4 linked regions of the Oreochromis niloticus genome follow. The protein of the gene in region 2 interacts with the protein of the main gene of each other region in a pairwise test. Links are inferred from orthologs where the notes say so. Each region holds a gene or a part of one and is shown on either strand. Other genes may lie near its edges. The genes, in order: pdlim1, gfap, sh3yl1 and ribc2.

Region 1 (7,922 bases), on a different chromosome or scaffold from region 2:
ATTGAAACAAGTAATACTCTGTGCACACCTGAGGAGCTATAAACTAAGTTTTTTTTCTTAACTTGTGCATGTACAAACATGCAGTGTTTGCTAAGTGGGTTAGAAATATTGCTTAAGGTTTGAAAGTGACTGGCCCATTGTGTTTTAAGCTTCGCTTTCAATAACATTTTTCTTGAAAACAGACTTGGAAACTTTGAGCGGTTCTGTCTTTTTAAAGCAGCTTCCAGTCTGATACAAAGTCACACATAATTTAGCAGGATAATGACTGTGGACTCTGCCTTAATTATACCTACGTGGCTAACTTTAACGACAGATGCGTCATGACACTGGCATGCCATCACAGTGGGCATACAAATACCACCAAATCTAGCTCATGCTTCACAGTGGGAACACAGAAATGCCTCCAAATATAGCTCATGCTTCAAGCTTCTAAAAGTGCAAAATCTCCGAGTCTCTGTGAGCAAGATAACTTGCGCAAAGGAGCTGACAATACTTACATAAAACAAAAGAGTGAAGCAACAGATTCTAGAGAAGTGCTTGAAATATGTGTTAATATGTGTGTGGGAGAAAAAAAACAAAAAAAACACTAGTTTTGTGACTTGTGAAACACACACACACACATACAGGGCCTGAGACACCGTTTCCTACATGAATTCATACTTTGGCCTCAACTTTCCACTCAGCGGGCAGGAACTGAGGCTTGCGTCAGGGCTTGGCTGATAAACTACTGTCTCCTAGGAAACCTCCTGTTGGTAAGTAAACAATGACTTCATCATGAACAGTAGTAGGATATAAATTAAAAAAAAAAAAAAATCCCCAAGCCTTTGCAGGCACGGGGGGGGAGAACAGCACTCTGGCTTCCAGAAACTGAATGGCTACTCGATTTCACTCTAAATGACAAAGCTGGAGGAGTCACTTTTTTAAAGCTCATACAGCTTTGATGCTAACACACACCCGTGGTTCTGATGCAAGATTCATCTTGTAGGGATGCGCCTTCCCCTCTTCAGATGACAGCGGCGACCACAGTTTTGTTTCTGACCTGAGGAAGACAGGAAGGCAAAACAAGGCTTGAAAGATGATCTGAGGATTCAGTAACATAAAATGCCAGGATCGCCCGCGTGTTCCTGTGTACCAGCACGTGAATGCAATATTAGGGCTGTGTCTTTGAATGCAACAGAGCCCTTGCAGGCATGCTCATGTTCTTGTTTATCTTGCAGTTAACCCCGCCCTTTCATGCATTCAATATGGCATCGCTTAATGGGAGCAAACATATGTGGTTCAAACCGTCTGTCAATTCCCTTTTGATACGACTCCTCAAAAGTCATCAGTCATGAGTAATTTACAAGACAACACAGCAGAGCGATGCGGGATTGCAACATGGTAAAAACCAGTAAAACAAACAGAACTGCTGTTTAAAAATCACTGAATAAACATGATGTCACTCGCTGAACACCTGGATTGCAGCTGAGCCGTCTCACATTACTCACTCTTTTTCTCCGAGCCTATGGCTATGCAGATCAGAATGGCACATTTAGACACAGCTTACCTGTCTATGGAGAGCACCATTTCCTCTATGCAGCCCTTTATCTTGTTCTGCGCCTCCAAGTGAGTCATGTTCTCTGTTGGTTCTCCATCGATGGCAAGAATTATATCCCCGATGCATAGATTTGCTTGGGCTGCTTTACTCCCGGGGTTGACCTACAACACAGGACATAGAAATTATAAAATTAGAAGCTACTTGTGCACTGTATAATTATGAATATATGGAAAACGCACCTTCTAATTACAGCCTAAAGGGTTCCAAGTCAAAAGAGGAGAGTGCCATTGTTTTAAACCTGACCTTCAAGAACCTTTAAGCAGCTGTCTTTGTTAACAGTAAACAGAAGTGAAGGCACTTGCAGAGTCAGGATAAAAGCTTCCTGGAGCCCAGATTCTCTATCTGAGATAAAGGCCTAAAGCAGGGAGAGGGAGAGGGACCAGTACAGTCCAGGAATTCCTAATCACTTTTCCATGGGTGGGGTGGCCTGACCACAGTAATAACCTTCACAAGAGAGGGGAAAAATGCAGTTTAGGCTCAGACAAAGCACACAGAGGAGTGCTTTGCTAGCTATAATCCGGTTCATTACTGCCACCAGAGCAGCACCCTGTATGAAGCTTAATAAAATCTTAGCGCTAATGAACACCAGTGAGGTGTGTCAGCTGTCAGCTCATGACAAAGAGGCTCCGATGGGTCCATGGTCACACAGTGATGTCAAAGTGTGGAGTTTAAACTTTTAAAATCACGCTTTAAATCTTAAGTAAATTCTGTACGGGACAAAATATGACAACGATTGTTTGGGATGAGTGCATTTCTGGTTCGGCTATTATAAAACTACTACTTTAAAGTAGCCTTAACTCTCAGTTAAAGACCGAAAAAAATACATAAATCACAATTCATCAGGAAAAAAGATATTTTACCTTACATAAAAATGTATGTTTTTAAAATTAAGTGGGGTCCACTGACCACCGTGTTTGCTCCTTGAGGTAGCACTAGCAAAAATTGCCCCTAATTTAACTTTTAATTACAATAAACTGAGAAAGCTAACGCTAGTTTAGCCGTTCGTTAGCCCTCCGGTTAACACAAGCTAACCATTAATCGTCATCCAGCCTTCAGTAAAGTCGCGGGGAAACAATGAGAGGTGAGAGTCCAGGTGCGGTTACACTGAAAAGCGGTAGAGAAACTAACAGTAAAACGAGCTTACCCGGGAAATAGCCAGTGGCTGCTCGAAGTCCTTTCCCCCGACCAGCCTGAACCCCCAGGGGCCGGGACCCTGCAACGCCACACGGAGAGGCATGGTGTCAAAGTTTTGAAACAGAGCCGACGATGGTTAAGGAGCTGCCTCAGACCTATGGTTCACTTCCTACTGCAATAATGACGTGGAGTAATCGATGGTCAAAAGTTTGAGGCTGACTGCAACTCCACCGCATTAGTGGAGGGGGAGGACCCTCGGATTACAGTTGGACGAATAGATTTTGAAGTTTCCTCCCTGATAAGTGAGACCGAAGATGGTGTATGGAGAAGATGGTTCACTCGTGTACATATGTGTACTCGCGCATACGCCACTAACGTGCAGAATTGTGGGATTAAGCCACCATCCTGGGGGAGTAAGCCCCTTGGACACGGCGACTGAGTAGTGGCCATCATTTTCTTCGTCATGTGTTTATCTTATTAAGAAAATCTGAAGCAATGAAAATACTGTTGTGTGGCTCATGACACTAGTTATCAGGGTCCCTTCCCAGGGCTTCAACGCCTACTCACACCTTGCCTTGTGACCTCGATAGGGTGGGGGCAAGCTCTCACCGTTGTTTCACCCTTATTTATTTGTTTGTTTAACCTTTGTTTTATTTAACCATGAAGTCGTTTAAGATTAACATCATATTTTCAAGGGAAACCTGGTTTCAAAGTCCAGTGATGGCAATGACCCACGCCTTTCTCCACACAACTCACATGATCAATAGTGGGTCCTTCAGGACCACCTCCAAAGAGGACACCACCTTTATGGGTTAAATGCCTGGGACACTCCACCTTTTGTTTTTAGAACAGAAGAAATGTCTTATATGAGGGCTGAAACGTCTTCACAAACTTAAAAAAGACCAGTTGCCTTCTTTTTCTCAAGCTCTCAAGACCAACATGATCTGGATGACTGAGAATCTACACAGACATGGTTAGACTTGAGCATGACGTGTAAGTGATTTCAGGATTCACAATCTTTGCACAGCTAATGGCCGCATTAGTAATGCTGGTGTGATAAAGAGAATGCATGTTTGAGCCTGTAATTCTGCCTGGAGCAGTTAAAGCCTAATCAAGACACTTTATATTGTTGTGATTAATAAAATAAAACTTTTCCTGCTACTGGGCTGGTGTTGAATGTGCAAGGATGTCTTTAGTATTGCTGCTAAGGTTAAAAGGAGCATGTGAAGACTGAATCTGCGCTGGACTGGGAGTAAGTTGTTTCATTTTGGCTGTGTTTCTGTATGGCCAGTTAAAGTCAGCATGTCTGCTTGAAGGTGAAACACCATATGTGATGGATGAATCACATCCTGACTGGGCTTAAACACTTTGCTTGAGTCACTCTGAAACACAACCTGCAGACTCACAGCGTTACACTCGATTACAGAGCATATAAACAAAAGTGTCCGTATTAGTGGAGCATGATGGATCCAAAACAAAAGCAGAGGATGAGGAGGGTCAGTCCTTCATAAATGCAGAAGAAAAATTATGGCAAAGAAAACATTTAGAGGAAAAAATACTACAAGAAGTCACTGATTTTATTACATCTTTAGTAGTTATTAATCTCTTAATTATGTTTTCATCTTGTCACTTTAAGCCTTGATTATACTCAGACATGGACAGCTGGAAACACCTCAGCAGACTAGTAATTCCTGTTACCCTTATTTGAAGTCTCTGCAGACGAGTCCACGTGGTCACAAAAACAGGCAGGCACGTGGATGTCTGCACAGCTTAGCCCTTTTGTAATTTTTACTTGTGTTGGAGTTTGTTTATTTTTTTAACAGTGCCGATATGAAGCACTGAAGCATGCTATAGCTGGGTCCCAATTCAGTAACTGCATCCTTCCATTGATGCAGCTTAGCAAGAGGAAAGGACGGTACTGAACAGGCCAGGCAGATGAGTCTGGACACAACCATAGTAATGTAAATAAAGCATATAGAGTATATGGAGGGGCAAAAGTGCCAGTGTAAACACGCTCCCTGCAAAATCCCAACTACGCATTGCTTGTCATGGATGATGCTGTTTGTCAGTCACATGCTGATTGGTTGACAAATGGGCCAGGTTCACCAGAAATGGGTTTCCATAGCCGAGCAGGTACATCCACCAAGTGCAATGCAAAGAGCTGGATGCGGTGGTTGTAAAGCACGCCTCCACTGACCAGTGGAAACATGTTTTCTGGAGTGACGAATCACTCTTCTCCATCTGACAATCCAATGGACAAGTCTGGGTATGATAGTTTCCAGGAGAACGGTATTTGTGTGACTGCATTGTGCCAAGTGTAATTTGCCTGCACAGTCCTGACCTCAATCCAAAAAAACACCTTTGGGATGAATTTGAGCGGAGACTGTGGCCTCCTCGTCCAACATTAGCGTCTGAACTCACAAATGTGCATCTGGAAGAATGGTCAGAAATTCCCATAAACACGTGTAAAACTTGAGGAAAGCCTTCCCAGAAGAGTTGAAGCTATTATTATGTAAAGGGTGGGCTAACATCATATTTAAACCCTATGAATTAAGAATAGGTTGCCACTCAGATTCACATGCATGTGAAGGCAGAGGAATGAATACTTCAAAGATCTTTATCCTATAACTTGGATTTTTTAATGCTCGCTGTGCCTTGAATTACCTTTTTTGTTGATGTACATAGATAAATGTGATTAATTTCTCTGATTTTTCATTTATTGTTCTTTATTGGCACATACATCCACCCATAATCTTCGGCTCATCCAATTCGGGAGTCTATCCCAGCGGAAAATGTTAATTGATGACTATCCAAATACAGTTCATGAATAAATCACACCTCTAAATATCACTACCATACAATATCCGTATTGAAAGAAAACACTAACTTAAAGCACAGTGGTCTAATCTTTCTTTACCAGCAGTAAGCAAAAGAAATTAATTTTTATATTAAGCAGCTCCACTGCAGTAGCTATGGTGACCCATTTGTTATCATCACATAAGAACGATTGCTTCTGAAGAGACCCCACGGACAGCAGCTTCTTTCCAACAGAGATCGCTTGATCTCCAGGAACTCCTTTAAATTCAGCTTGCCTTTTAGGGGCTTTCGTTTAATTTCTCTGGTGCTCTTGCTTCCTCCCCAGTCCAAAGACATGCACATTAACTGGTGATTCTAACCAGCAGGGGCGTAATTTCCAGGGGGGTTAGTGGTGTTATGACCCCCCCCCAGTAATCAGACCCAACCAATATAACCCCCACAATAAAATTATGAATGATCTTGCATAAATAGGCTGTTGATTTTCTTTACTTGTTTCAGGTATTACCAGAAAAATAGTTGCATGTTTAATCATCTGGGAATTTACCCACATTTATTTATTTATTTAGACAGAGATCTTGTTCAGCACAAAGTTACACCGAAGCTAACCGTGAGGGCTCGATAAGGTGTTTACAGTCTGCGGAATAAAACAAATCAAAGTCTAAAACACTTCGAGTGGTCAGTAATGCTAGAAAAGCATTGCATTGTATGATGACAGCTGTGCTTTTGTGCACACCACAGCAGTTTAACCACTGGAAGGCCACAGCCTCACTGTGTCCATGAAATGCTGCTGCGTTAACCTGGAAGCTAAATGTGTTCAGGCAGGAACTTTGTGTGGTTGAACATAACTGAGACCCTTTTTTGGAGGAACTTGTAGTGTTTCCTCAGAATAATGAGGAAGACGTGAAGCACTTTGCCGACTCATGCTCTGCGGCTTGATGAACTGATCGGCCTGATTGCTCACTTAAAAAAAACACCATTTAATTTTCATCTTCCTGGTGAATGACTGTGTAACACTGTGAAGATAATATGACTCAGAACTGCTGTAGTTCCCGTGTTGCTTTTACTTTAATTTTTCATTATTATTAAACTCAAATTAAACAACAGAAAAGTGCAACTTTGCGATGACCACATTACTTTTAATGTAGGGACATTTCTCTGAAAGGAGAGCAGAGTGGTACTTCTTCGTGTTTTGGACCTCTCACAAGAGCTTCAGTTTGTTTTAGAGACGTCGGCCTGCCCTTGCGTCACCCTGTTATGTGCAAACTTACCATTTATGGTAGAGCTAAATCCCAGGATGTGGAATGTGCCGCTCCCAAAAACTGAATTCCTGCCAGTGGGCCTCTGCTGAAAGTGGAGGAAAAAAATAAAGGGGGGGCCAAGGCGGCCAAACTGAATGAAACACGTCCTTTCTTGTGGGTTTTGCTTTGTAATTTTAGGTATGCCAAAAAGCCTGTGAGCCCGTTTTAAAGTGACGCTGTTATCAGTTCAAGTGGATATAGTGCAAGTGGGACTCAGGACTCTGAGCGGCTTTCAGCATTTGTTCACTGAGATTACAGGAGTCTGACATTTATTGCTTCATTTCACCCAACAGCATTCACCCACTTTCCTGCGTGCAGCCACAACAGTGGACTACATCAGAAATGATCATCAGATAACAAGCTGACGTTCAGCAGTCCAGACGTGAACAGCTCCCCCTTCGACCCTGACTCGCAGGCAAAGTTCGAAGATCTGCTTTTTCAAAACAAACAAACAAACAAACAAACAAAACATAACCCCCACCGGCCACTTCATTAGTTACACCTTGCTAATACTGGGTTGGCCCTGTTTTGCTTTCACAAGTGCCTTAATTCATCTGGCACAGATTTAACAACTTCAGATTCTGGTCCACGCTCACATGATAACATCATACAGTTGCTGCACATACATCATGCGAATCTCCCGTTCCACAACATTCCCAAGGTGCTCTATTAGATTGACATCTGGTGACTGTTGAGGCCGTCGGGTACAGCGAACTCACTAACATGTTCAAGAAACCAGTTTGAGATGATTTAAGCTTTAGGACACCGGGGCATTATCCTGCTGGAGAGAATCATCAGAAGATGGGTACACTGTAGTTTTTCAGCTTCCTGTTTTTAACTGTCAGCAGTGGGGTCTTCCGCTGCTGTAGCACATCTGCTTCAAGGTTTGATATGTGCATTCGGAGATTCTTTTCTGCATCCTTTGGTTGTAACAAAGTGTTATTTGAATCACTGGAGATTTTCCCTTTTTCAGATCATTCTCTGTAAACCCAGAGATGGCTGTGTTGGAAAATCCCAGCTGATCAGCAGTTTCTGAAATACTCAGACCAGCCTGACTGGCACCTATAACCATGCCA
Region 2 (6,986 bases):
CACGAGTTTCTGAGTTGTGCTTCAGCTCCACACTTGTTGTTAAATTACAGTTCTAACAAACTATTTTAAAAAAGTGTGTGTTTGCCATAAGTCCATCTGACAGCAGTGTAATTTGTGAATTCAAAATGTCTGTGTAATCTGCGTGATCTGGTGTACTCACTGTGCCACGAAGAGCCTCCAGGTCACAGGTGACCACTTGGATCTGACGACGATATTCGTTGGCTTCCTGCTTGGCCTGGCGGAGGGCTTCTGCGTTTCTATTGGCTGCATCTGTCAGGTCAGCAAACTGTGTACAAAGATGAAACAGCTCGTTTGTATGTGGTGTGTGTATTAGCTTATTAGCTGTGAAACATTATCTTTATCTTTGTGCATTTCTTTTAAATTTTCACACATTTTCACTTTATACAATAAGTGTTTTATGTCCGACAGCTAATTCTTCTCACCTTGGATCGATACCATTCCTCAGTCTCCTGCATATTTGAACTTGCCATGTTTTCATATTGGACCCTGATGTCTCTGAGAGCAGCAGTCAGGTCTGGTTTAGACACATCCAGATCAACATGGACCTGCTGGGCCATGATCTGCTCCTGTAACTCACGCAGTTCCTGCAAGGAGGAAATCCAAATTTGATTGTGGTTAGTGGCAATTATTGGTGCCTTAATATTTCCGTGACTTCTATTCCTTCAGTTGTTTTCTTACCTCCTCATGAATTTTCTTCAAGAAGTTTATCTCATCCTGCAGGGCATCAATCTTCCTCTCCAGCTGGACACGATTTAAAGACGCCTCATCCACATCCTATGAAAAAAAATGAAGCACACAGAGGGATGAAGTTGGATAGTCAGTCATACCGAATGTCTAAATTATTTAGTTGATGATTTCAGGGAACAGAATTACCTGTCTGAAGCCATTTAGATTATTTTCTGCATCCTGTCGGAGCCCAATTTCATCTTGCAGTCTAAGTCACACAAAGGAGAAAAATAACCAAATTAAAAAAATTACTCAAATTTGGTTTTTTTAGGTTAACAGAACATCCAGTCTTTCCAGTTTTTGTTGTGCAAAATACTTTTATAGACAAAAATCATAAACACACCATTTATTTTGAGTTAACTTGTTGTGCATGAGCCTTTTTTGTCAACTCCTTCACATCTCAGCAAAAAGGAAACAAGCATGAAAGGATTTTTACATTTTTTTTTACAGTTTCTCATTTATGTCTAACAGAGTATCGTCTGCAAGGACTAAAAACACGCACACGCACATCGATTAGATTCGTGATATCAGCTTTACTGCTGCTCCCCATGCTGCTGGGGATGTGCGGGGCTCAGCTGAAAGGGCAGCTTACGCATCATTACACATTCACTCCAATCTAGCAGCCAGAGGCCTTTCCCACGGGATGGAGCACACACACACAGACATAAAAAGGACGCACGTACGCACAGCCTCGTGCACAGATAGGCACCACCCTACAATCCATCTGCCATGCACACAGTGACATGGAACTCTAAGCATCTGTATGGCTTCATGGAGCGATTGCTGAAAAGAGGGCTTCAAGAAGAGCAGCATGAATCACAAAAGTGACCTCTGACCAGAATCATCACTATTCATGCTGCATTCTTTTAGAGGACCAGCAGCTGCGTGGTAATCGGAGGATATAGTGTGAGAGAGACCTTTCGAACCTTTAGAGGCTTCAAGTCACTCATTCACAAGATTAAAGTATAGATTCATGCCACATATGCATCTAAAGTTTTAAAAAAGATGCATATGCAATGGCAGTGAATCAGTATTTTGGAGTAACAGGGGACTAGTGAACATCTGCCCGGCTGGCCGTTCCCTTTGTGTTGGGCTACCATTGTGTTTCCCTCATTCCTTCGCACTCACTCAATGGGGACAAGGGGTTCAAGTTTGTAAAGAGGGATCCAGGAGTAAAGCTGGGGCAGAGCACAGTGGGCTGCATTCCAGCGGGTCTGAAATCTGCATATAAATGAACTGGCAATTATAAAAGAAAACTAAGAAAAAAAAACTTTCCACTGGAAAGAGTTTGTCTTATTTTGTGCCAAAATACATAAAATCTACTCCAGCTGAATGTGTTTTCCTATCAAAGACCAGCTAACCAAAAGCATTTGTCTAGAAAACACACTTTGTGGGCATTTCTTTCACAGTCCAAATATGTTTTTCAGAGTGTGTTTCAGGTTCTACTATGCTTTAATCAAGAACATGGTAAGGTTTAACATAAACAAGGGTCCAAAACATCTGTACACTAACTGAAAAATGAAATATGAAATTGAAATTCAGTACATAACTCTAAAAAATAACCCTTTGCATTTCTTTCATTATTCTTATACATACATATGCAATCTCTAAAAGAGATACAAATGGGTGGTACTACTGTGGGATCATGCATCACACCTACATGATCCTCCACCCACAGAAGTCCTGCCCTGCTACCTCTTACTTCTGCTTAAGTGCAGCCACATCTGCAGCCAGGTTATCCCTCTCGATCTCCATTCGAGCCTTGTTGTTGGTGAGACCATCGACTTGTCGTCGTAGCTCCCTGAGCTCCTCCTGGTAGATGTCTCCCAGTCGGCTTGGCTCCTTCCCCTTCAGCTGGTTCAGCTCTGCCACCAGCACCTTATTCTGCTGCTCCAGCAGGCGCACCTTCTCTATGTAACTGGCAAAGCGATCATTCAGGCCCATCATCTCCATCTTCTCGTTAGTTCGTGTTTCCTTGTACTGGGCCTTCAACAGAGAGTCAGCTGAGAAGTCCAGCCGATCAACAGGGCTCCCCAGCAGCAGGGCTGTGCTGCTTGAGCCCAGGGAGATCCGCGACACGGGACTGGAGTGGGTGACATTGCGAGGGGTGCCATGCCAGGAGAGGCGGCTAGAAGAAAGGCCACCAATTCTGACTCCAGAGCTGCTCGAGCTCTGGGGCCCAAAACGCTTCCTGTATGAGGACTGGACTCTCTGACTCTCCATGTTGGGGAATGGAGCTCGCTCTGGGCACAAACAGGGCTTTTATACAGCCAGGCAACCAACCCCCCCAAGACCAAAGCAGAGAGACCACAGGGTGGGGCAGAGAGAAGGGAGGGTGGCAGGCAGTGAATGGGACAAAAAGGGAGAGCGAAGGGGTGGTTTACATGACACTCAAAAAGCTGTGCGCCAGGGATTGTCTGTGCTCGTCCACTCAACTACAAATGTCTCTTGGCTTTCTCCCTCTCCCCCTTTCTCCTCCCTTCTCCCCAGCCTCTAACTCACTCTCTCTCTCACTCTTACTTTCACCCTTTTTTGTCTTCCTCTCTTTCTTTCTGTTTGAGCTGAATGAAAAGGAATTTGTGTGACAGGGTCTGGCCACCAATTCAAGCTGACCACACATGCGCTCTCACAAAAACAGAAACACAGTTTGATCAAACAAAAGGGTGCTGGGGAGAGATCTTCGCTCTCTAATCAGAAAATAACTTCAGATCGGCAGGTGGAGCAGGTACAGATACAAAGAAAGATTAGTATATTAAAAACATTGCTGAGTGTATTGGAAGTGTGCACAACAAAAGCCTGTGAAATCATTTGAGACTAGGGTCAAATGATTTCACAGGGTCAGTTGTGTGGAGAGAATCTAAGAGCTGTTGTCACTCCTCTTTGGATCACAGTTTAGGGCAGCAGTTATATAACAAAGGGCATAACATTATTCGTTAACTCATCCTTAATGGGAATATTTATTATAAAATGTGCTTATTCAGTAATGAAAATTAAAGTATGATGAAAAAGTTCATATTACCCAGACTGGAGAAAATACATTTTCAACAAAGTATATTCAATTCAGTTTCAATTCAATTTTATTTATATAGCACCAAATCACAACAACAGCTGCCTCAAGGTGCTTTCTATTGTAAGATAGACCCTACAATAACAATCCCAACAATCATATGACCCCCTATGAACAAGTATTTTGGTGACAGCGGGAAGGAAAAACTCCCTTTTAACAGGAAGAAAACCTCTGGCAGAACCAGGCTCAGGGAGGGGCGGGGCCATCTGCTGCGACCGGTTGGGAAGAAAGAAGGAAGACGGGATAAAAGACATGCTGTGGCAAATCTCCATTAGCGAGTTAGCACGGATCGCCCCGTGCGTGGGCCAGCATGGCGTCAACGCGTTACGGCGGTTAGCTTGTTAATGCATTAGCGCCATGCAGCCCCACGCACGGGGCGATCCGCGCTAACTCGCTAACGTGTTAATGCGGTCATTTTAACGAGATTAACGCTGACAGCACTACTATTAATACATAGTGAGTGAGAAAGGTGACTGAAGAAGAAATACTCAATGCATCATGGGAATCCCCGGCAGCCTACACCTATTGCAGCATAACTAAGGGAGGATTCAGGGTCACCTGGTCCAGCCCTAACTACATGCTTTAGCAAAAAGGAAAGTTTTAAGCCTAATCTTAAAAGTAGAGATAGTGTCTGTCTCCTGAATCCAAACTGGAAGCTGGTTCCACAGAAGAGGGGCCTGAAAACTGAAGGCTCTGTCTCCCATTCTACTTTTAAATACTCTAGGAACAACAAGTAAGTCTGCAGTGCGAGAGCGAAGTGCTGTAATAGTGTGATACGGTACTATAAGGTAAGATAAGGTATCTCACCTTATAGTACCTTAATAGTACCTTATGGTACTATTAAGATAAGATGGCACCTGATTATTTATGACCCAGGGTTTTCATTATATATGCCATTAAATATTAATCTATAACACTTCATCTCAAAGCATTTTCAAGTGCTTTGGAGCTTTTAATTAAATAAATAAATAGATAGATAGATAGATAGATAGACAGATAGACAGATAGATAGATATACTGCAGTACATGCACACTTTCAATAGAAAGAAGAAAAACACTTCCCTTGGAGATGTTCACTGTGTCTGGTTATTAGATGTCTTGCTGGTTCCAAAGACAGATGGATGGCAGAGATGAGTGGGGTCAGGTGGTGAGATGTGGGGAGGAAGGGAGTTGGTGAGTAAAGCCTTTTAATCTGAACTCTATGAGGACTAACAGAGTCTGCATTGCAAAACCATTATCATCCATTACCTTGACAACCACAGAGCTGGCTACCTCAGACCACCTCAGCTGATCTTTTTGAAGAAGATGTGATTTATGGAAGTGAGATTTTGACCAAGTGCCCATTTCCTTCTGCAAGAATATATCCCTCATGTCAAGAACAGAGTATTTTGGCATGACAATAATGTTATTGAAAACAGAGCTCAAAAAGACACAAAAGTACTAAAAGTTTGGGAAAATACTGCTGGAAAAAAAACTATGAGTAATATTGGTTTTGTGTTGCTGACAAGATACAGTAAATAACCCTAAGTAATTTTAATGAGAAAAGCAACGGTAACTGTGTAGCAAGTTTCTTTCTTTTCTCTATCTCCTCTTTCTGTGTTCATGTCTTTGTCCTCAGGTGTTCCCTTCTCACTATCTTTAATTTATATTTTATATATTTCACATAAGTCTTTTGTATCCATGTTTGGTCATGCAAGTTTTTGTTCTTCACCTTTGTTTGATTCTGCCACCTGTGCTTTATCCCTAATCAGCCTTCTGGGTTTATAGAAACCTCACTCTTCCTTCTGTTCTTTGTTCTGGTGTCATTTGTGTAATCCTCAGTGTGTGTCCTGCTCTTGTGTCCTCATGTTTCCTGGCATTTCCTAGTTCTTTGGACTTTTTGTATCACATTTGGAACCTTGATCAACCTCTATAAAGGCTTGCCTTTTGTTTAGTTCTACATTCTGGCTCTGCAAATTCCCCCCAAAAAACAGTTGCAACATGGTAAAAAAAAAAAAAAAAGTACCAGTAATTGGTTAAATTCCAGCAAAAATATCAATTCTGTTTTTGTTTGGTGTTAGGAAGATCAAACTGGCAGTAGCACATTTAACTGCTGAAGGTAGTAAAAACCACAACAGCAGTGGTTCATAAAGGATTTCTTTGTTACTAGGCCATAAAATCACAGGGACTGTAGACCAATCATAGTGCCTTTATTCAGTGGGAGACAGTGAATAAAGGCCCTAGGACTTTACTATTTGGCCTCTGAGTGTTGTTGCTAGTAAAGAAGAAAAACAACAGCACACTGTCTTGAATTCTAATTGGTCTCTCTTAAAGCAGGTTAAACAAGATGGCACACTGTAAGTCTGGCAGAGATTTGTTGATTAAAAAGGCTCCATCTCTAAGGAGTAATAGCATGCTTGCATCATTAAGGTGACAGTAATTGTTTCGCCCCTCTGAATTTTTCCGGCAATCACCACCGTTGCCTGAGTTCTGGTCACTGAGGTAATATGTCCTGATGATTAAACATCCAGGCAGAAAGAGAGTAAAAGTGGTGCTGCAGACCTCTCCTTCTCTTTGCTCCCTGCTGCAAGTCAAACAGCTGATTCATAGATCCAGCACAAGAAGACCATCTTATCTGCAGGAATTACAAGAAGAAGGGGTGTGGGGCAGAATCTTAAAACTGAAATGATCTCAGGCCAAGATAAAATCGCAGCCAGCTAAGTTTGACTGCTCTGGCATTTTGCATCCAGAAACCCCAGTGTGAACCTCTCAGCTACCATTCTTCAACCTGGCTGATGTCTGAATGTACATGGCCACATACCAAACTGAATCCTGACCAACAAGCTGGAAATACGACTGTCTCAGCCCCACCTTCATCACTACATCAAGGACAGACAGGGTGTAAATTAAGGGGTAGGCCTTAATCAAAACTAGCTGCTTTGGGTTTAAAAAAAAAAAGGTGTTACACCCACAAAATGATGTCCTGCAACAAATTAAACAAGATGAATTTAACCTATCTGCATCAATTCTTGTGAACATGAGACTTGCATCCTCCAACGACTACGCAGGTGGGGAGAGTGCTTGATTGTGTCCCTCACACCCCTGCTGTACTTGTTTGGTCTGGACAAATTATACTTTTTAGTGACTTTGCATAATTCCTGCATAGTTGAGCCAACATATCTAGGACACTGAT
Region 3 (6,888 bases), on a different chromosome or scaffold from region 2:
TTTGTGCTAGTTAAACCATCATTCATTTTTACATTTTTGTGTAACATTTATAAAATGTGATTTTCACAATATCAAAATTAAGTCTATTATTTAAATATATACATTTTAAACTACTAAATTTGTTCACAGACAAAAAAAATGAGAACATATCTGAAATATAAAGAGATTTAAATTATAATAAGATTTTATTTTTATCAGAATAATATTAATTGATGGATGCCTAAACCTTTAGATGATAACACATATGACACATAAGTCTGCAGGTGCAGGACCTTTTAATTCTTTTCCAGAAATAATTAATACATAAATTAAATTAATTATTCACACATATATATCATTATGATAGCGTTTTATTCTCTACCAAGTCACTGGGATTCTTTTAACCAAGTTCTTCGAACTCTTTTATTTGAAAACAGCAGCTCCGTGTTCACATTTAAAATACATTTTTTTAAAAGTTAATACCAGAAAATTAATTTGTATTTTTGCTTTTGAAAACAGTAAGAGATTAATTTTCTTCCCATTTTCTCTGTATTTGATTTTTAAAGATTAGATGACTCTTCTTCAAGTCTCACATCATAAGACTTTCCAGGAAATCTCTGCAGTGAGAGTCAGAGAGCTGTGACCAGTCTGCCGACATGCCAAAATGCACTCCTGCTGCAGCAGCAAATTCCTGACACATGACACAGCCTGAACAGCACATCCAAATGTGCCGCTGACCAACAACATGCCAACATGGCCAAGTGCTCCTGCAGCATCGCCTAGACTCCATCACAGCCTGCAGCACTGATGGAGAAAACACTGACTCAGAGAAACCACCCAATCCTCCATTTTGAACGTGAATCCAGTGGCTTCAGTTAGGCTCCACCCCAGCCAGCACTGAGGTGGAGTTAGTTATAGCCATCTTTCAGACAGAATCTACCTGTGTATGGAAGTTCTAGTGCTCTTTTTAGACAATTCTAGTCAATAATGCAAGTTTAGATTAGTGCTAAGGAGGTTGAAGCATTCCTTCATGTTCTAGTTGTTGGTCAGACGTTCTGGTAATTAGACTGTGATCATCTACATAGAAGTTTGACTCATCTTTGGAGCAGTTATACAGGATTTTAATTGCTTTTTTGGTTGGCTAAGGGTGTTCCTTATGCCTGCAACAATGTTCCTTTGGAGTTTAAGATGGTACTGTTTGTTAAAGAGATGTCTAAATAGGTCACTAGGGAGGTTTCCAAAGTGGCTGCATGTCAACTGATGATCTGTGATTTCCCTGTGATTTGCTCATAAAAATGTTGAAGGGGTAATTTCAAGTCTTTTCAAGCCTTTCAATGGTGGTATTTTTAAATAGCTATATCTAGAGAACTATTTAACCTATGTCATTCAAATTTTTAATCCAAATATCTACTACTATGACCTCAGGAATATGGCATTTTGAAAATGTAGCTGAAGTTCAACATAAAATACTGAGACATTGGATTAGTGTAAGGCTTACAGAAGGCTTAAATTCCACCATGTGTGTCATGAACTAGATCATGTTATATATAAATTTATCATATTTTCATAAAGTTCTGCGTTACTTTTGATATACTTGACAAAAAAATAGCAAAATAACGGCTTTGTAATTAAGTTTAGTTTTGGTGTTATTTATAATGGTCATTGCAACATCTACCCTGAGGTGTTTGTATGATCATGCACATGCTAGAATTTGTTTGAACATGCCACTGATAGCTGAAGTGAGATAAGTTTGTGGATTAGCTTGATTAATACAATGAGAGAGGCTAGAGTTACCGCAAGTGGGTGTAGGTATACAAGGAGTATGACATCACACTGCTGAGAATTACAAGGTAAATAGCTTAATGTGAACACGATGCTTTGATGTAGGATAGTAAAACACATTGGTGATGGTCAAGCTGGGAATGTTTCTTGGTTTGGTCAGTTCTCATGCTCTGGCTGTTTTTGATGATGGAGTCCCTCTTAGTAGTTTCTAGTGGTTTATGTTTGTGATCCATGCTATAGTCACCAGACAGGATTAACTTGTCCTGGTTAGTTAGTCATGAATAAGAACAGTCAGATTTTTGGCGGAAGTCCTTTAGGTTTTAGTTATTTAGGAGCCGGGTGGTCTTTAAAGAGGTTTTAGATGTGAATGGGGAGCTTTTACTGGGAATTAGCGCAGGTTTATTGCTTCTGTTACCTCCACAAGGAAGTTCTGATTATTTTTCATAAGATTCTGGTCACATATGACGAGGTCCCATGGCAATAAACTAGTATAATCTTATTAATTTCACTTGTAACATAACAAACCCAGCAGCACAGAGAAGCAGTCACTGACAGCTGATTAACAGCTAACGATAGCCTGTTAACACTAATGAGATGTCACAGATTCTCCACAACATGAGCAGCCCCCCAGCCCTACCCAACCCATGGCCAGGCCCAAAATAGGCAGCGTGTAAGTTAAAAGAATATACACAAAATATTTATATTAATGTCTGAAAATTCTTTTTTTTGTGTACATACATTTTAATAAACAAATATTTACTCCCCTAACCCACATCTCCCTCTGCCCGTGACCCTCTGGGGGGTCCTACTCTTCAGTTTGGGAGCCAGAAAAACTAAAACTGCCCTTTATAAGGGAGTAAACAAACTGTAAGAACGTTTCCTGGTAAAACTGCTCTTCTTTTACTAAACCTAACCCTGTAGGTGTACAGGTAAAGCAGACAGGTAGAACAGACCGGAAACAGCAGACAGACACATAAAATAACTCCTTGTGTACTTAAATTACTCTTTTATCTTTAACTTACTTTTTTTCTTGTTTCTTCTCTGTCAGTTTGACTGACGACAGGTGAGCAGTACAAGCCTCTTCTCTTCTCTTCACTTCCGCTTCACCTGACGCTTCTCACAGCCGGAAACTGCGCGCGCAAAACTACGTAAAGGAGAAGCTGTAAGTAGAGGCACGTGGTTAGGTGAGGGCAGTTGGAACTGTGTCGGTTTGCTGTGTGAAGGGTGGTGCTCTCTATCAACTAGGCGCGCCCTCGCGTGTCTGCAAGGTAGCTCGACCGAGTGGATTTTTCCCTGATTTCAGACTCTCAGGTGCGCGGTTAATGTGGAGGCTTTTAATTTGGTACTCAGATGTTTTTTGTTTCTCAGGTATATTAATATCTGACAGTAAAAATACTGCATCCAGATAATGAGTTTTACCTCTGGTAGTTGCACATTGAATTGATTAATTGTATATATTATTACAATATCTAAAAAAAAAAGTATATATATAAAATATACTGAAGATATTAAAAAATATATATTATTTTTTTTTATGAATAATAAACAATAAAAATGTAATAAATGCCCATTGATATATAAAGCATTTGAATCTTTTTAAAGAAAAAACTGATTGGAGTGCCACTCTCGTGGGTTTTCTTCCCCAATCTATGACTGGTAGTGCTATCCAGATATGCTTTTTCTGCACTGGTAGGGTGTCTGGGATCCTTGTCATGTGGAAAAACGAAACTGCCACCAATCAGACACTTTCCAGATGGTACTGTACAGTGGAATAAAATCTGAAGGTACTTTTCTTTGTTCATAAGTCCACCAGTTTTAAGATTCCCAGCACCACTGCCTCAAATGCAGACCATGATGGAGCCTCGGCCGCGTTTTACAGATTGCTGTAGACACTCACTGTTGTACCTCTTTCCTGATAACCTAAGTACAAACTGATAATGATTTGAACCAAACATTTTTGTCCAGTTTTTGTGTAATTTGACTTACTTCAGCCCGAGGCTCCAGTGAACAGTAGATCAACTGAAATGCCAGATACGTCTTCTTTTTTTTCTTCTCCTTCATTTCTCATATTTTGTAGGAACATTACTTTCAGGTTCTGTTCATCTGCTGTAGATAGTTGATTTTTTTAGGCTTGAACCTTTTCTTTAGTCATTTTACATTTATATTTTACATATTTTAAGGACACACTGCACACCATGCTGAGATATGCCAAGTTTCTGGCTAAGAGCTTTTGGGGGAAAAATACAATTTTGTGTCTGTCAAGCTGTGTTATCATTGGCGTTTTTTTTTTTATTGAAGAAATTATGTGCGTTTGTGGTAATCTGCAGTAACAATGTGCCTAAAGATACAATTTAAAATTGTAGGCATCTTTAGGCATCTGTAAATCAACACTGGTTGATGTCTGTAGTTAAGTGCCTGTTTTGCCTAAATGACTTGTTTTTTCACTGTTAAGTGGTTCAACAAACAAGCAAACAAACACACAGAAACAAATATTCCTCTGAAAGTGGTCAGGTACAAGGACTGGACTGAAAACAAGTGAAAAATCAGCCAATGTCCAAAGAAATATTTTAAAAGATCTTCAGAAAGCGTGGAGAACAACTGCTGAAGATCACTTTGAAAAACTATAAGAGTGCCTGGTTCATTGGAAGCAAAAGATAAAGAAAGGAGCAGTGGCTCAAGACTTTTGCAAAGTAGTATCCACTACTGATACTACTTGTAGTCTCAAACTGATTATAGTGGGTGATTTGCTTCTGACTCCTAAGGCATTTTTAGACTTAGCTGAGTTTTTAAATAATATTATTATGTTTTTTAAACTTTAAATAATGACATTTGAATGGGAAAAGTTTAAATTCTACAAATGTGGAAAACAAGATAAATGTTTCCAGAGGCAGTGACTTCCTGACTGGAGATAAATATGATTTTCTGGCATCTTTAGCTGAACTTAATGTTAGCTGCCAGCATCGCTGTGGCTGATATAACAAATCACACAGTTATATCACTCAGTAGTAATGTTGTGTAACCTGTAAGTCCACGACTCCATCTACTGCTGAGAAAATGCAGCGCGTAAATATTTAGAGAAGGGAGCTTATTGAATTTAGACATGGCTGATCTTGAACCACCCAGTTTACCAAAAACTTGTTTTTGGACAGTTTCATGCCTTATTTACCTGTATACCTTACCATACCTGTATTTTCATACATTTTAATGCATATTTTGTAGGAATCATTTAGACTTCTTAGCTATTTTATTGTAATATTTGCATCGGTTTTTTTTTTACTATTTCCTAATACTTTATTCTGACATTTGATATGTTGCAATGATTCCATTAATATATTTCTTAGAGATTTATTGATTTTACATGCATTTCAATAATATTTTTACATGTTTTACATCTTTTTCTTTCATATTTTACATTCATTTTTTATTGATCTTTTGATTTTGTTATATTCATTTTTATTTCTTTACATTTGCTGATGTTTAATTCTGACATTTTAGTTAAAAATGTAATATCAGTTTTGGACACTAATATTTTCTGGTATTTTTGAACAAACTCAAAACAGGTTTTGATAAAGTATTAATGAGGTTTTTTTTTCATTTATGCATAATTTTAAGATGGTTTAAAGATGCTTGATGATTGAAAATGTTACCAATAATTCACTAAATTAAATATTCATTAAATTTTAGCAATAATTTCCAATCAGGCTGACATGTAAAACTGACAGATTTACATGGTGAATCTAAGTGCACATGTTAATTAATGAACATTGTCCCTTTCAAATAAATGTAAACATGAACAAAACCATACATTCTAAAGTTAACCTATTAACCTAACCCACTAACTACATTTGGACTGTGGACAGAAGCCAGAGTACCTGGACATTAGATTTGGATGGAGGACCTTCTTGATGTGAAATAACAGTGACAAGCACTGGGCCACTGTGCTGCCCCATAAAATTAAACAGAATGATCAATGAAATTCATAAAAAGATTTAAATAGGGAAACAAATCATCAATGCCCTTCCTTATCCATGTTTTCCTTTTTCTCAGCCTTGATCTCTCATTTCCTCTCATCCCACCATCTTTATCTTTTTCCACAATCGCTTCTCTTTAAATAGCCTGCTGGATAAACATCTGTCTGACTGCAGCCATTTGTCTTCCTAATGTGTTTCCACTCAGTGTGTATGCGTGAGGCCACCCAGTCTCTACAAAACAGTTCAGGGCTCCCACTCCTCTAATCCTCTACAGGCCTCCTCAAAATCCTCAGAAATCATTTTTCAAGTCCTGCAGTCCATGATCTGTCTTCTTTAAGACTTTTGAGTTACTCTTCACGTCCACATAATTCAGTGTTTAAGTTCTCTTGACATCTGCAGATCACCCCCACCCCAACCTCCAGGTTCAGATCTCTTTCCAAATCATCCACAAATCATTCTCCCAGGCCTTCAATTCAAGGAATCCCAAATCCTTGTAAGTTCTTGAATCTATCTGATGTTATCCTATGGTAAAATGAGTCTTTAATCCTTATCAGTGGTCTTAAAAGTCAAATTCAACGATAAAGCCTTTTCCCAAGTTTCCCAGTTCTCAGTGAGTGCTAGTTCTGGATCATTTTCCCACTCTTTCAGTTGTTTGTTCTCTATTCTCTTTTGTATCGTTAGTTCCCCCAAAAGTCTCTTTCAAAGTTATCTTTTACCCTTTGTGTCATTTCCACAGTTTCCAAGTTTCTAGTCAAGCACTCCAATACCCAAGTAACCTAATGCCTTTTTAATATCTCCCTTCCAGTCCTCTTAATCTTGGTAATTTACTATGAGTACACCTCTAAAGTCACAGATCAATTTTTGAGTTCTTCCCTGGGTCCTTTGGCCTTTTCAAGTTATCTTCTAGTCTTTGAGTTCTTCAGATGTTCCTTTCAGGCCTCTTCTCTCCATAAAAGGTTGAATTTACTTTAAAGTTGTTTTTCTCTAGTCCAACATAATGCATAATCTTCAGAGTCCTCAGTTTCCACAGAAATCCTCTAAGTTGCCAAATCCTCTAGTCTTCTAGTCCCTTCTAAGTCCTATTGTCCATTAATGGTCATCCTCCCAGTTCTGCACTCCCCTAATAGGAATCTTGTATTAAGCCTTGACATTTGTC
Region 4 (7,061 bases), on a different chromosome or scaffold from region 2:
TGTGGTAGGCACAAATATAGTGTTGTTTCCCACAATGTTTTGTAATGAATGAAATAATTATGTGTCATAACATGTCGCCTACTGTGGAAAAAAAAAAGCCTTAAAAAAGGTAAAACAGACTCACAATGCCATGTTAAATACAGTAACAGTGTCACACAGCTTTAAGTGATTGAGATGCTAACTGCTGTTTTATTTCTCTCTGTAGTTCTCTCACATGTTGCATATATTAGCATTAACATAAAAAGGTGGCAACATTAGCCAAAGCACATCAAACCAGGCATATGTATCAGATATATAAAATATATATCTGATATATATATCACACAAAATATATTTTGTGTGTGTGTTTTAAATCATATGACCGATGGAACATTTTTCTTTAAAGAAAGCATTTTTTTTTAAACATCTGTAAGATTTTTTACTTGAATATAATTTTAACACTTATGCCTTCAACTGACTAGTAATTAATATTTGCTTATGGAGGCAAAACTGCGAAAGACTTGAAACACAAAAACTAATCATCTTTCAGAGGCTACTTTTTAAAGCAGTATCTGAAATTTAATCAACATTTTTCAAATCATGCAAACATGAATGTTCTGAACTACATTTCACATAAAAGCAGCTGTTTATTCACTGTGATATTCCGTTTATTCATTGTTCTTTTTATGCAACACCATCACTGGTATCAGAGCAGTGCATCACCCCTCATCTGCTGCAGGTGTTGAACTTGGAGAAGAAGCTGTCATCAATACGTCCTCTTTTAATGTCTGGTTTCCTTAAAAATGAAACATTGTTAAAAACAGTGAGACAATGTACACTGTGTTAAATTTAATAAAAACAATTTTGCTCAAACGTTACTGTTGTTTGTGTGTTTCGGCCAGCTGGGCGTTGGCGCTGTCCAGGTCTCGCCTCAGCTGCCTGTTCATTCGTGCCTGCTGCCTCTCAATAAGCAGAGTGGTACGAGCTGAGTTCAGGCGCACGCGATCGTGCCACTCTTCTTCTTGTTTCTTCTCCAGTTCTTTTCTCTTTACGTGCACAGACAACACACACATTAGGAGATAAAATGCTTTATATGGGCTACCTTTGAAATGATCCATACTGTTTGAGTGCAGATATAATTTTTTTTTTTTTACCCTCTTCTCCTCTATTTGATATTTCTGGATTTGAATGATCTGCTGCAGGCTCTCAGGAGGTGTCCTCCTGTCACTGCTGGGACTCAGGCCGGGCACGGCCTCCGTACTCGGGGTACCTTGAAACTGGCTTTGCCTACTATTGATTTGCTTGTCTTGACGCCGCTTTTCTTCAGCCTTTTCCCATGGAGACACATGAGTAATAAGGTGGAAATAAAAAATGTTTATTGAAGCCTATAGCAGCGTTTAATGCAGTTAAATTCCTCTCACTCACCATAGACCGATTGAAGTCTTTAGTGGCGATGGCAGCTGCCTTTCTCCTTTCTATCTCAAGGCTCTGAAGTTGCACAACTCTGTTGTCCATTTCTACTCTGCTTTGGTCATAACGCTGCTCTAAAAATTTCAGTAGAAAATATGACGGGAGCTTGCCTTTTGTGTTTGAACTGAGCATGTGTATTAAGCATGGTCTTAAGGCAAAACCCACCTTCCAGCTGTTGTCGATGCCTTTCCACCGCCTGCTCAGTCTGCTGCTGGGTGAGCCACTCTCTGAGCTGTTCCCTCTGGTTCTGCAGCCTGACCTTACTTTCTGGGTCTTCACCCACCAGGCCAGGAGGCATCATCTGTGCATCATTCTGCTCTATTTTTTTAACACGGCCGGGATCATTCAGATCATACTCCTGTCGATCTTCAGGCTGCTGGTACTTCTGCCTGTAGGCAACAATGGCTTTTTCCAGTGCACGCTTCTCCTTCATTTGGCGGCTGTCGAGAATGCAAGCTACTTTGCCATAATGGAGCATATCAGCATCTGCATGACGATCACATGCCACACACATATACCACAGTTCACTTTAATAAAGGATTGTATGACACACATCAGGAAACAAATTTGAAGTAACTCACCATAGGCGTTTTGTTCCTTTTTTGCAGCTTCTACTTGTTCCCTTTTCTCTTTCACCTGCTCATCTAGGGCTTCCTTGTCAACCTGTAGAACAGTCATTTAGAGACAAACTCAATGCGTTAACCTCCTCTGCCACAGACTTTCCACTTCTGTTTAATTCAGACCCACACGTACCCCAATCGTCCTCAGTTTCTCATTAAAAATTCTTTCTTTTCTTTCAGTCTCTATGTTGTGACGCTTCTCCAGACTTGCTCTGGCGAGGCGCATTGAAAGTAGTTCAGTTTTACGCATTTTGGCTCACAGCGGTGGCTACCATTTAGTTGAGGATTTGCTCCCGTCTGAAACTTGGAGTTCAAACACACTGGTTGCTAAGACACCAGAGTGTTCGCGAGCCCTCGTACGACGTCGGCTTTTTCCGGAGCATTCACCCCAGACGCCTCGGATCGAAACATTTCAGCCAATGAAAGCACACCAGTCGCAACGCGGATGGTGTCGAGAGTCCACCTACTGATAGGCATTAAATCTTGGACCTGTATTAAAAATGGCAGAACAATAACTAACACTGGCCTGGGTTATTAAAAAAAACAAACTATCTTTTTTTATTTTAAAACAACAACAACACTGATTTCAGATTTGCAATCCAACTCATATTTGCTCGTCATGTTTTTGAGATCCACATCACCAAACCATCCAACCGATCCCTTTTCTGCTGCTAGAATTTTAACTCCCATCTCCAAGCATTTTAGTTTTGATGTCTCTATTCTGCGTTAAAGCGCATTTCTGCCACTTCAGCTCTAAAGAAAAGATGTTTGAGGGACACGCAACCAGTAGCGGTTTTTGATACGGGCGACACGGGCGGTTGCCCGGGGCGGCATCGTGGTGGGGGCGGCATCACGGGCATCGGCAAAAAAAAAAAAAAAAAAAATTTACTCATGCTACCCCGACATCATGCCAGCGCAGTTTGGGGATGGCATGGGCACCAATCGGTTTTCTATCGCCCATTTGCTGGGAGTAAGGGCGCCCTCCGTTTGCGAGGTGCGCCTGATGCTTGCGGCGCAGAGAGGAGAGGGCGGGGCGGCGGGGGATTCTCTGGCTGGCTGGAGCAGCATCTAATAACCAACTCGCAAAATAAAACAAAATAAAAACAAACACGAAAACACCAGACATTATGATACAGACTTATATTCTGCACCGATGTTTTTTCGAAATTCTATACACGAAAACTGAGCGCGAGAGCCCTCGGTGCGCCTGCTGCTGAAGTCAAAGTAAACTTTATTGTCATCTCCGATATATACAGTCCAGTATATAGAGAGACGAGACGACGAGGCTCCAGTTACAGCAGTGCAAGTAAACAAACAATAAATATAAGAAGAGTAAGAAAATAAATATACACTTTAGGACGAGGGGTAAAGGGATCAATGACAATTTAAAATGAATCCTGGGTTGTGCGAAATCCCAGAAATAAAACCTAGACAAAGTGAATCTGTGAGCTAAGGTGTAGGTCTGTTAGGTTATGTTGTGGTGATCCTCGGGTTGGGGGATGGGTGTTCATACTGGAGTGCAAAATTAAAACCAATGGAAGTTGGACTAGAAAAGTTCAAAGCCATCAGGTGCTCAGTTTAGAAAAAAGAGAAAAGAAGAGGAGGAGAAACGAGCAACCGGTAAGCAGATGTGTCATTGGATAATGGCAGGTCATCCTGAAACAATCAGAATCATATTCAGAATACTTTATTAATCCCTAAGGAAATTGTGTGGGTTACAGTTGCTCCAAGAAGAAATTGTAAAAATAGTAACAGTAACAGACTAAACTCCAAACAATACATTATGTTACAGATTTTACACACTTAAGAAATAGCACTAATATATACAGGTCACTCAATTATAAATATCAAGAATTAACAGAGGTGATTATAAATAACTATCAAGAAAATTGACAAGAATATTACAGAGTAGAAAAGAGCGTGTGTAAAAAGGGTGTAACTATTGCAGTGTTCACAGTGTGTTAGATGGAGGAGTTGTACAGGGAGATGGCCACGGGCAGGAATGATTTCCTGTGTCGTTCAGTGGTGCATTATGGGTAATCTCAGTCTCTCACTGAACATCCTCCTGTGGCTAGCCAGCATATCATGGAGTGGGTGGGAGGTATTATCCAGCATTGTCTTTATCTTGGACAACATTCGCCTCTCAGACACCACCCTAACGGAGTCCAGCTCCATCCCCACAACATTACTGGCCTTGTGGATCAGTTAATTTAGTCTGTTGGTATCTGTGACCCTCAACCTGCTGCCCCAGCATGCAACACCATAGAGGATGGCACTGACCACAACAGAGATACAACAGGATAACATTAATTAGTAGGGATAGTGAAAACGTCTGTTTACGTTTGTTAGCCACTTGGCTATGATAGTAAACAGTAGGCACTGATGTAGCTGACTGAATCTTTTGGACTGTGTTCAGCACAATATTAATTAGTCATTGTCAATTCTTGATTTGTCCGGTTCTCATTGTATGACGAATTATGATGGCTGTTTGGTAGCCATTTGCATGCTATGCATACTCTCTCTCTTCATATATGTGTGTGGTTCCAACAACAGTTTTATGTTTTACAATCCTTAATATGTTTTATGTGTGTGTGTGTTTTTTGGTTTTCCATCACTTTTGTATCTTGATGATACATTTCCCCATGCTCATCGAAGTCATCTCCGTGGTTTGGTGGGAAAACAGTTGAGATGAGAAAGTAAAAAGTGCATCTCCAGTAACATTCTGGTACTCATTAGCTATCTATGAGCAAGCATGCCTGTTTTGAATATGCTGACCTATTTCCAGCAGGGGCGCTGTGTCTGTATAATGAGGCTCTATCACCTCAATCATCTGTTGTCGCTCGCTGTTTGGTGGGCTGCATGTTTTAAGGTGCATTGACGCCGTACACATGTTGTGCCCGTTGCACAGACGAAGGATGTTTTGTCTGCTTAATTTAACTTGGTTTCCCACTTAGAGGCCTTTTGCTGTCACATCTCCTGTTGCTGTTGGGGTGGGGCATTTACCACTCTTTCTCAGGTGCGCACAATACAATAGAAGAGGTATGTAACGCGTTGTTAGCACTATTGTTAGTTTTGGACCTAAACTATTCTGACGTGGGCTATTTACATGGTAGAAATCATTGGCATGTTGCGTCACCTGGGTCGGGAGGTGCTCCTCTCCCGTCCAGGTGAGAGTTGTTTAGCAGGTCAGGTATGTATAAGCTGCCCTTTCTAGTACTCAGTGATCATCATCATCTGCTGGTAAGTCTCAGTCCTGAACACAAACTCCCTTTTCCAGTATGATTGAATGTGTACAGTTTTAAAACGATGTTTTTCCTTGTGTAATAAAATTCAAAGTTTGAATTGTGAACTCTGGTCTTCTGCCTCATACTAGAGGAACAAATCTGTGTACCTTACTGGTGTTTCTACTCATTTATTTGGGTGGAATTCCCAAGGTGGCGTTGTTGGCAAATTTTGGCTGCCCTAGCTATCGTGAGAACAGTGAGTTTAAAGAACAAAGTACTGAATCACTCTTTTTATACCCTCATGCTGCCATACGCAGAAGGTATGCAGCCTGTATTTGGCTCATTTATTGTAGTGACGCTGGCACATTTTTCTATTGACAGGGATCCCAAACTTCATCTTTTCGGTTAAGTAAACATTTCCCTCAATTAGCAAGCATCTGCTGACTCTATAATGTGTTTTTGGACATGATGACATTGGTTGCTTAAGTTGTTGGTAAAGTTTTAATAGGAAATCTTTCATCTTGTGTTGGGTCTATTTCCTACACAAGGATGTCCACAATCATGCATTTTCAATAATCGTACAGTATATCCAGTTTAACAAATTGTTTTTTAATGCTATTGTGCCACCAACTTGGATATTATTAGAACATCTGATTCAAGTGTGCTTTTCTGTTGTGCTGACACAAACCAGTCGGACAATCCTAAAAATCAATCATGTCTAAATCTAAAATTAACATAAGAGATGCCACAGAGCAAGAAATAAAGTCTTAACATGTGAAAGGAAAGTTCCTGTTGGCATTGCCATGAGGAAATGCCATTTGCATGAAATGGTAGGCATGTTCTGAAACAGTGTAGGTAGGTGATGTGTCAAAGTATAACATCCACATGGATGGCCAATGTTTCCCAATAGAACATTGCCCAACGATTACGCTGACTCCCTCTGCCGGCTTGGCTTCTTCCCAAAGTGCAACCTAGTACCATGCATTCCCCAGCTAAGCGACACACGCTCCAGCCATCCACGTGATGTTAAAGAAAGTATTATTCATCAGACCAGGCCAGCTTTTTCCATTGCATTGGATTTGGCAATAGATGGGGGTCAGTTTGGACAGCATGGACTTGTCTACAGCTACACAAACATACGCAGCATTTGATGCTGAAACCTTTCAGTCAGTCAATATGTTATTCATACAGGACTTTTCAGACAATAAGGATGCAGTTCAAAGTGCTCTATTCATAAAAAGCAGAAAATAAAACTACACACATGTCCCTTCACTACACCATCTCATCACTCCTTCAATCCTACAGCCCTGCCTGGACATTAGACACCACCTTGTCATTTGGAAATGCTGGAGGGGAAAAAGTAAAAGGTGAATATAAAGGCAAGTAAGATGAAAGAGGGGAATAAACATGTAAACAAATAATGCAATGAAAATAGACACAACCCAAACTAAAAAGAAAATACTTGAGTTTGGTTCTAAAAATCTCAACAGTGTCAGCAGCACGTGGGTTATCAGGTAGACTCGTCCTAAACTTGGAGCATAATGGCTAAAAGATGCCTCTTCATTAGTTTTAGAACCAAAACAAGCATGAACTTTTTCACCAATTTAAGCTACAGTAGCTCGTCTATTGGACATGACAACACAGGCCAGCATTTTCTGACCATGAGCTTTGGACCCTGGTTCACCACTGTTCCTCCTTTGGACCACTTTTGGTAGATACTGACCACTGCAGACTGGGAACAGCCTACAAAAGCTGCAGGTTTGAGATG

The links.
Region 1: the proteins of gfap (region 2) and pdlim1 interact in binary tests that used the Homo sapiens proteins (3 or more experiments, as listed by UniProt). The link is inferred for Oreochromis niloticus from reciprocal best matches to the Homo sapiens genes GFAP and PDLIM1.
Region 3: the proteins of gfap (region 2) and sh3yl1 interact in binary tests that used the Homo sapiens proteins (3 or more experiments, as listed by UniProt). The two-hybrid records come from large-scale screens. The link is inferred for Oreochromis niloticus from reciprocal best matches to the Homo sapiens genes GFAP and SH3YL1.
Region 4: the proteins of gfap (region 2) and ribc2 interact in a two-hybrid assay, tested with the Homo sapiens proteins (2 studies listed by BioGRID and IntAct). The two-hybrid records come from large-scale screens. The link is inferred for Oreochromis niloticus from reciprocal best matches to the Homo sapiens genes GFAP and RIBC2.

The regions. Positions count from the first base shown.
Region 1 is NC_031978.2:25,484,260-25,492,181, forward strand, and holds the start of pdlim1 (PDZ and LIM domain protein 1), read right to left. Parts: upstream 3,006-7,922; 5' UTR 2,835-3,005; coding exon 2,742-2,834; intron 1,699-2,741; coding exon 1,547-1,698; intron 1,040-1,546; coding exon 955-1,039; intron 1-954. UniProt on the Homo sapiens protein: Cytoskeletal protein that may act as an adapter that brings other proteins (like kinases) to the cytoskeleton. Involved in assembly, disassembly and directioning of stress fibers in fibroblasts.
Region 2 is NC_031969.2:28,883,558-28,890,543, reverse strand, and holds the start of gfap (glial fibrillary acidic protein), read right to left. Parts: upstream 3,012-6,986; 5' UTR 2,971-3,011; coding exon 2,450-2,970; intron 956-2,449; coding exon 895-955; intron 796-894; coding exon 700-795; intron 606-699; coding exon 444-605; intron 287-443; coding exon 161-286; intron 1-160.
Region 3 is NC_031986.2:26,980,783-26,987,670, reverse strand, and holds the start of sh3yl1 (SH3 domain-containing YSC84-like protein 1), read right to left. Parts: upstream 3,017-6,888; 5' UTR 2,785-3,016; coding exon 2,784-2,784; intron 1,571-2,783; exon of another isoform or gene 546-1,570; intron 1-545.
Region 4 is NC_031972.2:62,003,924-62,010,984, forward strand, and holds ribc2 (RIB43A-like with coiled-coils protein 2), read right to left. Parts: upstream 2,421-7,061; 5' UTR 2,320-2,420; coding exon 2,203-2,319; intron 2,113-2,202; coding exon 2,031-2,112; intron 1,936-2,030; coding exon 1,615-1,935; intron 1,524-1,614; coding exon 1,405-1,523; intron 1,308-1,404; coding exon 1,134-1,307; intron 1,026-1,133; coding exon 859-1,025; intron 853-858; exon of another isoform or gene 776-852; coding exon 706-775; 3' UTR 522-705; downstream 1-521. UniProt on the Homo sapiens protein: Microtubule inner protein (MIP) part of the dynein-decorated doublet microtubules (DMTs) in cilia axoneme, which is required for motile cilia beating.